Linked DNA regions of Drosophila melanogaster. The protein of the gene in region 2 interacts with the protein of the main gene of each other region in a pairwise test. Each region holds a gene or a part of one and is shown on either strand. Other genes may lie near its edges. The genes, in order: kst and bbg.

Region 1 (5,006 bases), about 11 Mb from region 2:
TCGTCTGCAGACCATTTAGCATTTACTAAAAACTAGTTTACGAATTAGAATTTTAAGAACCAATTACGGCTTCTTTTTAAATTCATAGCAGATAAAGGGGAATCTGGAGGTGGGTTAATCATAGATTTATGATCGATTTTGTGCATATTTATAGGAATTTAAATAGTATTGTCAAAATCATAAATTATATATACATTTATAATTTATGTATGGCAGATTATCGTTTTTAATAGTTCATAAGAAGGCAGTAAGCTAACTTTATTCCTATTCCCCGACAAACCGTTTGCTTTAATAGACTCGTTCCGAGTTATTCTGGTACATTAATGTTTAGTAGGGAGCTACGCCTTTTGGTTCTCCTAATGGCGACTGGAAATTCCAAGAGTCGTGCTCCGCTAAACGCTTCAATGAGTCCCCAAGGGATCCTCCATCGAATGCTCGCTTGTGCGTAAATCTTTCGCTCGGGCTTCTTTCAAGCCTAAACACCAATTAAAATGCACTCAATACCCGTGTCACACACAAAAGACAAGCCCGAAAAACAAATGAAATACGAAATGGAATGAAATGAAATGGTGAAAAGTAAAACCGAAAACTTTCACTGCTTCGCCGCTTAAGAAACAAAGTGAATTAGTTGGACAGTGGGACAATTTGATGCGTTTTAATTGCTTCTAATTAGATTAGACCAGAGGCACCTGACTAGCCAGAAGATTCGAAACTATGTCGCACGCTAAGCTCCCACTTTGCTCAATTAAAATCAAATGCGCACGAGAGGTGCAAAGAAAGTACACATGTATAGTATGAGCGCGGCAGTGGAAAATGTGCCAAGCGCAACAAAGTGAAGTGAAGTCAAGGAAAAAATGCATTAGAAAGTATGCAAATATTTCAGATATTGCCAAGAAAACGCGGTGCCCAGGCTAGGTAATTAAATATATACTTTTTCGCCATGTCTTGACGTCGCCTCACACTTCCCGCTTCCCCGAGATCCGAAATCCCGACTCCAACAGCCAGATCCGTGCACCTCATATGGCAAACAAAGCACGCAATGGCCACGCGCAGCTGCGCAGGCGCGACTTGCACTTTCTACAAATGCGTAGAGAGCTTTACACTCTCCAGTCTTCAGTCTTCGGTCTTTGGTCTTCCAGCAACTGCAACGCCTTCACTCCCTTCACTCGCCGCCATTTATGTGGCATATCTCACCTTGGTGTGCAAGAATGCCAGACTCTTGTTGACATTTTCGATTTTATGGACGCGCATGCGTCCGCTGTTCGGCTTGCCCAGTTTCTCCGACGATATGATCTCCAGCAGCTTCAGCAGCTTGATGCCATCGGCCAGGTCTGTGAATAGGTCTTCGACCTCCATTTTGGCCTACAAAGAAGACGATAAGCCCAAATGTGAGTTGCATTCATAAATTGGTGGGGCCATAAAAGTTTCTTCCAATCAAAATTTCAAGTGAATGTATAATTTCGAATGTCATATACATATGGCGCTTTCATTTGAATACATCACTTTGATCGAGAAATTATAGTATTTAAACAATGAAAACTTTATGTGCTTAGCAAAACAAAGCATTTCTTTCATTTGTACTTTATAGTAATTAAATTACAAGTATTGGGAGTGATGAGTGACTCAAGTAGTTTACACACCTTGATCAGAAACGAGTTCATCCATTTTGTGAATGTCTTCTTCTGGATGTGCAAGCGCTCCTCCTGCAGCGTTTTGATCCGCTCGTTCTCGAACTTGATGATGCCGTCCCGCTGGGTCATGTTGGCGGAGTTGCGATTGGAAGGCGTCGGTGTCTGCAGCGCGGAGTAGCCTCCCGGCTCATATTGTGATGCTAAGTGGGGGGAAGGGAGGAGGAACAAAAATCTCGGATTAGTTCGAAGTCATATAAATGCAACGCGAAACGTTTAGGCTTAGTGTTTGTTTTGATTTTTTTTCATTTTTTTTGTATTTTTTTCCAGGAAAGAGAAATGGGCAAACCACCTGACAACAGACCAAAATCAATAATGGGCATAGGGAAAATAGAGGAAAAATACGAAAGGTATGTGGCAGAGATAGGGAAAGCACGACCGTGACGTACGAACCTATTGATTTAGAGATAACGAGTTATCGCCAACATAATTGCCTCTATAAAAAAATCCCTGGCTAAAGTTAGAACCACATTCCAAGGCAGTTTATTTGTAGTCTTTCGATTATGTCAAACGTAATTCCTAATTTTAAATCATTCCATCAGTGGGTTCCCATAATGTCAAAGATTACCAACGGGTATTTCAAACGAAGAACCAACAATCACTTTTTATTCGAACGCCTCATCACGTACTTTTGTTTTCTAGACCCGTTAAGATAAGCCATGTGTCGATTGGCGTTTCACATTTAGATCTTAGCTGAACAAAATTGTGAACACCTTTTTGAGTAAGCTTGATAGTGAATTTTAAAATATAGTGAAAGATTTTTAAGATGTAGAAATTAGCAATCTGTTGCTTTATTTCAAGTAACTTTACCTCATGAAAGAGTAAGGTATCTTTAAATTTCTTTTGCTAACAAGTGTAAGATAATTTCAACTCTACCAACTATAAACAAACCAAGCTGTGACCAACTTTCCAACCCAGTAGATATACCCCCAGCTAGCGTATCGAAATCAAAACAGTCGCTGCCCAGCGATAGTGGTTCTGCGAGCTTATCTGTCGACTGCCAAAATTACTTCATACCTATGGAAAATGCTTCACGACTTTGTTACTTTTTTTTTATCAACGGTTCGTTTTACGTAATACTGGACAAGAGAATATGTTAAAAAGTGAACAAAATTGGAGCGGAAACTGCAGAAAGCGAAACCATTTTTCTAGGCCGTTGACTCATTTGCCAAATATTTGCGCTCTTATCAACCAAATATGAAGTTCCACCCAACTGAGATAGATAAGAGCAGGTTACTTTCGTTTCGGGATTGTATAATGATCGCGAGCTTCCAGGGGAAAAGTTCAAGTTCAGAAACCTACCCAACGATTGGCGTTCGTAGGATATATATCGGCGATACTCGTTGCGCGAGAAATTCGAGCGCAGAACACTATTGTACTCCATGGCCTTTGATCAGTGATTTCTAGGGTGTTTCTCAAGATATCCGGGCTTTCAGCACCGAGTGCCGTTCCTTAAAGCTAATCTTTCGTTTTTTATTTCTATTTTGTATTTCGACACTAAGTTTCGTTCCTACGGTCAGATGTTCGCAGAGCCCGCGCCGTTTGGTCACTAAAAACAATGTGTGCCCAACATTTTGCACGCCCCAAAAATGTAGAGTGGGGGAAAGCTTCCTCCCCCTCTTGGCTCTGTTTATCAGATGAATTAAAAGCCAAATGCCAAGAGTGGCAACAAAAATGCTTCAACTGGCCTATGGTGAATTCCCTTTATCGCACGAGCTGATAGCAGTATGAGAAAACGGTTAAGGTATCTGAAAATCCTTGCCTTGACAAACAGCCAATAGACCCTGTCGGCTTATCTTATCGGTCCATAAATCCCGCATACCTCGGACATATGTTTTTCGGAATAAATACATATATATAGAGGGGAATGCACTTCCAATATCAAGTTATTTATGGCGCCCTATCAGATTCCGCAGACTAATGAATGGGCCATTTAGAATAGCTGCCAAATTCGATCATTCCCAATGACATCATGCCAAAGAGTTATAATCTGCTGTCTACTCGGGTCGGGTGTCATAACTCCGCTAATAGATCATTTACTATACATATGTGCCGCCAATGGCGTTGAGGTCACCTGGAAGGCATTCGCGGCTAATTGGCAAACAGAACACTTCGCTTTCGCAAATAGAAAAATCAATTAAAAAGAGGTGAAAACTAAACAATAAAAAACCAACAACACCAGTGTGACAATAAACTTTACCATACCGCGATAACGTTCGACGCTTATCATTATCGAGTGGCAAACAAAACCTAGAAAATGCAGAGTGCGGCATAACTTTAGGCTTAGCAGGAAAAGCAATTAAAACTGTGCCTCCTTGATCCCCAAAATAGAACGCATCCCCCAACTCACATACAGCTGTCTTTGGCCATAAACTATTTATACAACTAAAGTCGCCGGAAAAGGACGGCAGAGGCAAAGTCAGGGGCAAATGCGAACCGAGGCTCGAATTCCGGGCATCCTGTTTACTTCAATTGTGATACAACATGGTAGCACAGCACATGCGCGGCAGCTGGGAGCAGGAACACTCGGATTCCGCGCCTCTTTCTATTTATAAACCACCACACTTCACTCATCGCAAACACTTTGAAAACGATTTTTATAGATTTTCAACTTCTTCGGTGTTCTCTAGATCTTGTGTGTTCCACATACACGGTTAGCTAATGAACAAGGCGTGCAACAACCTCGGAGTTGTGTAAGAATTTGCATAAATCAATAAACATTTAGCATTTTGTATGCTTAATTTTTATGGCCCATACGCTAAGTCACACATATCATTTAGCAAATCCCGAATTAAATGATACTTTAAAGTATATCAAAAAGAAGTTAGGCATCTTTTTTTGGCAACCTTTTTCTACTCAGATAACATCCGAGGTAGTTACCGATTTTAATTACTTTTGCGTGAGTGATGGCATATGTCTGATAAAAGCGTAGTTTTTCAGCCATCTCCGCTTTGAACCGAAAATAATGAGACCTATAGCTCGGCAAATTAGGGAATTGGTGGTCTTTGTTGTCAAAAATTTCTACGCATAAAATTACCTCATCAGTGGCTGGAAATTAAAATTCAGTTTTGGCCTCAGTCGAAAAGAAGAATACAGATTGACACAACACAACAAGTAGAAACCCACAGTGATATAAATTCTTTTGTTTGTGCCTGGCATGCTAAACAATTTTTTAAAATCAACGAGAGAAAATAACAAACAATTTCAAAGAGAAAACAGCTAAGCTGGAGACGAAAGAGCCACAGACTTGGATTTAATTTAAACAATAGATCTAAACTGGAAATGATCTATAGAGTTACGTTTTTATTCTGCTAAAGT
Region 2 (5,252 bases):
TCAAGCCCGGAACCGATGTAATTAAGGTCAGCCGACCTGGTCACGAGCATATAATTCGCCTCCAGACGATTATGCAACCCATAAAGTGAAGCCCAATCTCACCTGTGCCGAGTAGCCGAGCAGAGTGGGGAACCAGCCCTTAGCCAGTCCGCGGGCGCCCTCCTCCGCCACGGTGACCTTGAATCCGTGCACCAGATTCTTGTACTTGGCCTGGTCGACCTGCAGACGGCACTTCACCAGATCCAGTGGGACCACGAAGGTGTGGGTGGTGCCGCAGCTGAGAATGCCACCAATTCCGCACAGAGCGAAGTACTTGGTGCTGCCGAATTCGCACGAATCCTGCTGGTTGGCCACCGGGGTAGCGGCGGCGGCGATCTGGCGACCCTCAACCGGCTGGGGTTCCACCACTGGGGCGGCGGCATCGCATCTTGCCATCGACATGGGGGTGCGGAATGGCGAGTTCCGGGCAGTTTCAAAGAAGCTGGAGAACATCTTGATTCTGTTCTTGTTCTGGGGTCGGCTGAAAGTAGAGAGACCATCCATTAGTTACGTATATATGTACCTCGGAGGCGACATGTGCTTTATCTAATTATATATATAGCTGGGTAATCAGCTGCTTTTCGCTTTTGTAGGTTACATAACGGCGTGCCTCGAATTCCGAGCACCCGGACTTACGACACCAAATTTACCCGAAAAGCGAAGGATTTTAAGCAACCACGTAAATTTAGTGTATGTTAAGGGAGCGATAGAGCACCGCTCGGCTACTTTGATTTCGATTTTACAAAACTTATGCAATTTTCGCTCGGAATTTTCGCACTTACTATTCGTCAGCAACGTTAGCGGCTCGTTGGCGAGGATTCAAAGAATGAGGGGGGGCTCACGGAGGTGCAGCGATTTCTCACGAATACCAAAACGCCTTAATGGTTTTGCCGTGGAGAGGTGTAACTAGCGGATTGAGGATAGTTGGCCACACTCATGTCAAAATCTTCGGCTATGGACTGCAACCTTGGTGCAAAACTTTGGTGGCGCCTGAGCGTGGACTCGAACCATCTGCATACGAGGTATCAGGTGAGATTATTTTAATGCCATTGCCTTCGTTGTGAATAAAATATTAATTATTAATATTAATTTCATATTGATAACATTAGTTGTAAATATTTTGAAAAAATAATAAATTCATTTGTAAAATCCTCATATTTTTGCATAGTATTTGTGATTTGTTTTCTATTTTTACACAATAAAACAAATTTTAATCTAAAGCTTTATTGTATTTAGAACTCTCTGTAAAATATATAACAATTTTCAATTATATGTACATTTTAAATTTATAAGTTATAGCCCCATGGTAAAACTGGATAATTTTATGAGTAAATATGTGAAAATAAAGTTCTGCCATGATTTCACATGGGGTTGGCCCAATCCTTCACTTTTTACGCACGGACAGGAAATTAGGCCTTTGTATTCCATTTTATATTTCACTCTGCAAGTGAAGCAAAATTCACCCTGGTGATCTTCAGTTAATAAGATTTGACAACCGATTTCTGGTGACCAAACGCAGCAGACTTTGGCATTCATAGTATCTGTAAAATTAAAAAATTAGTCTTTTATTACTATTCAAATGCTTCTTATACCGATATGCAGTCCGGGTGGAACGCAAACACCCTCTTTATTGGTTGTTTTTGGGAATTCACCTTGTAGACGACCCAATCGCCTATAAAAGTTTCCTTCATAACAACTGAATCCTGTCTCTTTAATCCGACACATTTCCGTATTTTCCTTCCTACAATCTAAGCATCTCCCATTTTCTATTATAGATACGTTTTTTTCGGCACAGGTGATCAACAGTCTCCCACTGAGTATAATAAGAAAATATATACAATTAAAAGACATTTAAAATAAGAAAAATAATTCAATGAGACCGCGTTGATAAAGTTTATGTATGTATTTCCAAAGGCCACTATGTACGACTATTGTTACAAAACGAACAAAAGTGACTGATAATATACACTTGGATATTTATATTATGTAGGTTATTATTAAGTTCAAGGATTATTTAAGCCTTTCCGCCTTTTTTGTGGTTCTTACCAAAAGAACTTCAACGGACTCTTTCGCTAAGCTTTGAGTCTGTCTTTCGATTGTCTTTGTGCTTCTTTCTTTTTGTTTGCCGCCGTCTTTGCTTTTGCTTGTGCTTTTGTATTTGCTGTGTTTGCTCGCTCGTGGATTTCTGTGGAGTGAAGTTCGGTCGTCAGTTTGAGTTTGGTTCGTAGCGCGTTCGCACACGCGCGCTGTAGTAGTCCGATATATAGTTGATTCCCATTCGATCCGAGATCCGATCCGATATGATCGTTGTTGTGCCCCTCGCCGCCTCTCGCTCGCTCTAATCAGTTGGCCAACGTTTTAGGTCTGCGTACTTCGCGGCTAATTTCCAACTTAAGAAGTGAAAAACAACAAAATCTGGCAAATAATTGAGTAATTAAAGTTAAACGTAAGGAGAGCTGCTCTGCCAAGTGTTTTGTGTTAGTGCTTTTGTGTAACGGTCTGCTAACTGGAGCTGGATCTGAAATAGAGATTACGGCAAAGTGTTTTAGTAAATTGAATGTGGATAAGTTTTGAAAGCTTGAGAGTGGATGCGATAAACTGATCGATTTGGGTTTAGTCTGAGAAGAGGAAGCTTAAGTCGAAAAGTAATCAAGAGATTGGTCATGTTTTTGCAAGCGGAAAAGAAAGTTTGATTTAGGAGAATCGAAAAGTGATAACAAATGAGATATGAACTTAAGTGAAATATGGTTTAAGTAATAATAATATAATACATAATATGCATATACAAATGAATGAATATATCTTTCTAAAGAAAATACAATTAAGTTTTTAAAAATATTTCAAAATATCCTGTTAAAGTCTAGATTGAAGTAATCAATTACAATAACATTACACTTTGTATTGGATAAAATCAATAAAACATTGCAAATGTAGCTTTTTGAAATGTTTTGAATGGTATTAAAAACACCTTCGATCAACATAAAGAAAAGCTCACTGCATGTTGTAAGTGATCTCATAAGATTATCTCATTTCTATAAGCGGCAAATAACATGTAAACTCTGAACTGGTCATTTTAATTGATATTATCTTAGTAAATCTGTGTACATTAGGAAGATTCTATATTTAATAAATTAGGTTCCGAGTCTTCTAATATTTCTTAATAATTCTGACTGTTAGTGGTTCTCCTTTAAACAATTCATGGAATTTTATTGCCCATTTAAAACGAAGTGAGTCCTAAAGAAATTCAAAGAAAAACTAATCAACACCAGTTGCGACTAGTTAACCAGCAACAAAAATTGGCAACTTCCTTCAGTTGGGCGCCAAGTCATTAGCTACCCCAATCCTCCTCCTTTTTTCGCCAGTTTGGGGGCCCACTCAAAGTACCGCTATGACTAGACAGGCCTTGTCCATATATTTCTTTATTTTTTTGCTTACGAATATATATGCAGCCATTAGCCACCGCATCAACAAACGAGACGCCACAAACACACTCTGATCTTTTGAGGCGTTTTGAGGCGTTTTGACGTTTGCTTTGGGGCCCCTTCACTTTTTGTTGTGGCACTGCAAGAAATTGTTTGCTAGAAAGTCATTCCACAATGTAAAATTCGAGATAGAGACACTTCCTGTGTATGCTGAAATTTACAATTTACAACAAGACGACAAACTTTTAATACTTAAACTGTTCTAAAAATTTAAAAATGGTTTAAATTTTATTTATAATGCAATCTTAAAACCCCTATTTTATTTATTTGTTTATTGTACCTTTCTCGCTCTTACATCTTATCACTACTTTTTCTGCGTGCAGATCGTGGTTTTTTCGTGTTCGGGTGAAAAAGTTGCCGCGGCAAGTGCAATTCGCAGTTTGCCGTTCGCGATTCGCATTCCGCTGGCCGAAAGTATCTTTGGAGTTTTGCATCTTGTGGATGTCTGCCGCGGTTAACTGTAAATTGAGGCATGTGCCGCACACTCTCCCCATCTTTCTCTTTCTCTATGTCGCTAGATAGGCGCTCTCTTTCGTCTGTCAAGTTCAATGTGCGTTGACAATTTTCCGTTTCCAAATGGGCGATGTTTTCCACGTTGCTTCTTGTACTTTCACACACATTGGTTTTCCATTGTTGCTGCGCAACTGTGCGTGTACTTTAATTTATTTTAAATCGAAAGGCAATTTAAATTTAAGCATCAGTAAAAATAAAAAATGCAAAACCTAGTGAGTTTTTTTTTGCGCATTCAACCCGGAACTTAAGGTATAGGAGTACCCGAAATCAGCCAGTCGCCCTGCCGTTCGAGTCGTGTGTGGATGTTTTCCAAGCAATGTATCTACGTATCTTTTCATCCTCATCGCAAACGCAATGCATAAATCAACGACGGAAAGAAGAAAAAATCTCTGCTTCGCTTTTTTGTTAGTTTTGTGAAAGCGCAAGTCGTAGCGTAATTTTTACACTTTTACCAAAGAGAAAGAAGACGGAAAGATACATAGATACTCTTTACATACGGCTCATAAGCATCTTTTCTCTATTACCCACCGACATACACGATTTTCGTTTGCCGTTGTTTGTCTTTAAGCCGCTTAATTGAAAGTCTTGGCCTGACTTATGACTGGTTGGAAAAGCCAAATGTAAAAAAGAAGACCTCAAGATGGGTAAATGATTTTTCATCTAGCCCGTAGTGAAACCGATGAAAAATATAATTTTATTGATCACAGTGGGACTGGGTAAGGGGAAAGCTTTCAAAACTCTAACCAAAAGTTCCACCTGATTTTTAGTGCAATAAACTAATTAAACTAAAGTGAAATATGCCAGCAAATTCAAGATAAATATAAATAGGTGATTGTGCAAAAAACTTGCAAATGTTTTTATCTGCCATCTGTGCAAGTGTCCAAAAATCAAACGAACAAACTGCATCCTCTCATCATACAGCGAAAAAGGTAAGATCAAATTGATTTTAATAATCTATGCCCGTTTTAGTTTTTATTTATTTTTGCATATCCATTTGTTAACTCGTTTGCGATGTCTATTAACGGCATTCATCGCCCTGGGTAGTGAGCTCATCTCGGATCTAAAAGATATTCTCAACCTGAAACTTGTTCGATGATTCATTTTTCACAGCTCGGCTTTTCGATTTGTTTATTTACAGTTGTGATATCTTTTTGCTTTGCATATTTTGGCATGCAATACGGGCACGTTTAAATAATTTAATCTGTTAACCGTTTCGGT

What was found.
Region 1: the proteins of bbg (region 2) and kst interact in a two-hybrid assay, tested with the Drosophila melanogaster proteins (one study listed by BioGRID).

What each region holds. Positions count from the first base shown.
Region 1 is NT_037436.4:3,348,321-3,353,326, reverse strand, and holds the start of kst (karst), read right to left. Parts: upstream 3,220-5,006; 5' UTR 3,073-3,219; coding exon 2,991-3,072; intron 1,832-2,990; coding exon 1,641-1,831; intron 1,363-1,640; coding exon 1,195-1,362; intron 1-1,194.
Region 2 is NT_037436.4:14,533,272-14,538,523, reverse strand, and holds the start of bbg (big bang), read left to right. Parts: upstream 1-2,247; 5' UTR 2,248-2,469; exon of another isoform or gene 2,470-2,485; intron 2,486-4,801; 5' UTR 4,802-4,963; intron 4,964-5,252. Other genes in the region: Mpcp2 (mitochondrial phosphate carrier protein 2), read right to left, coding at 103-492; CG43246 (uncharacterized protein), read right to left, coding at 1,333-1,580, 1,632-1,890.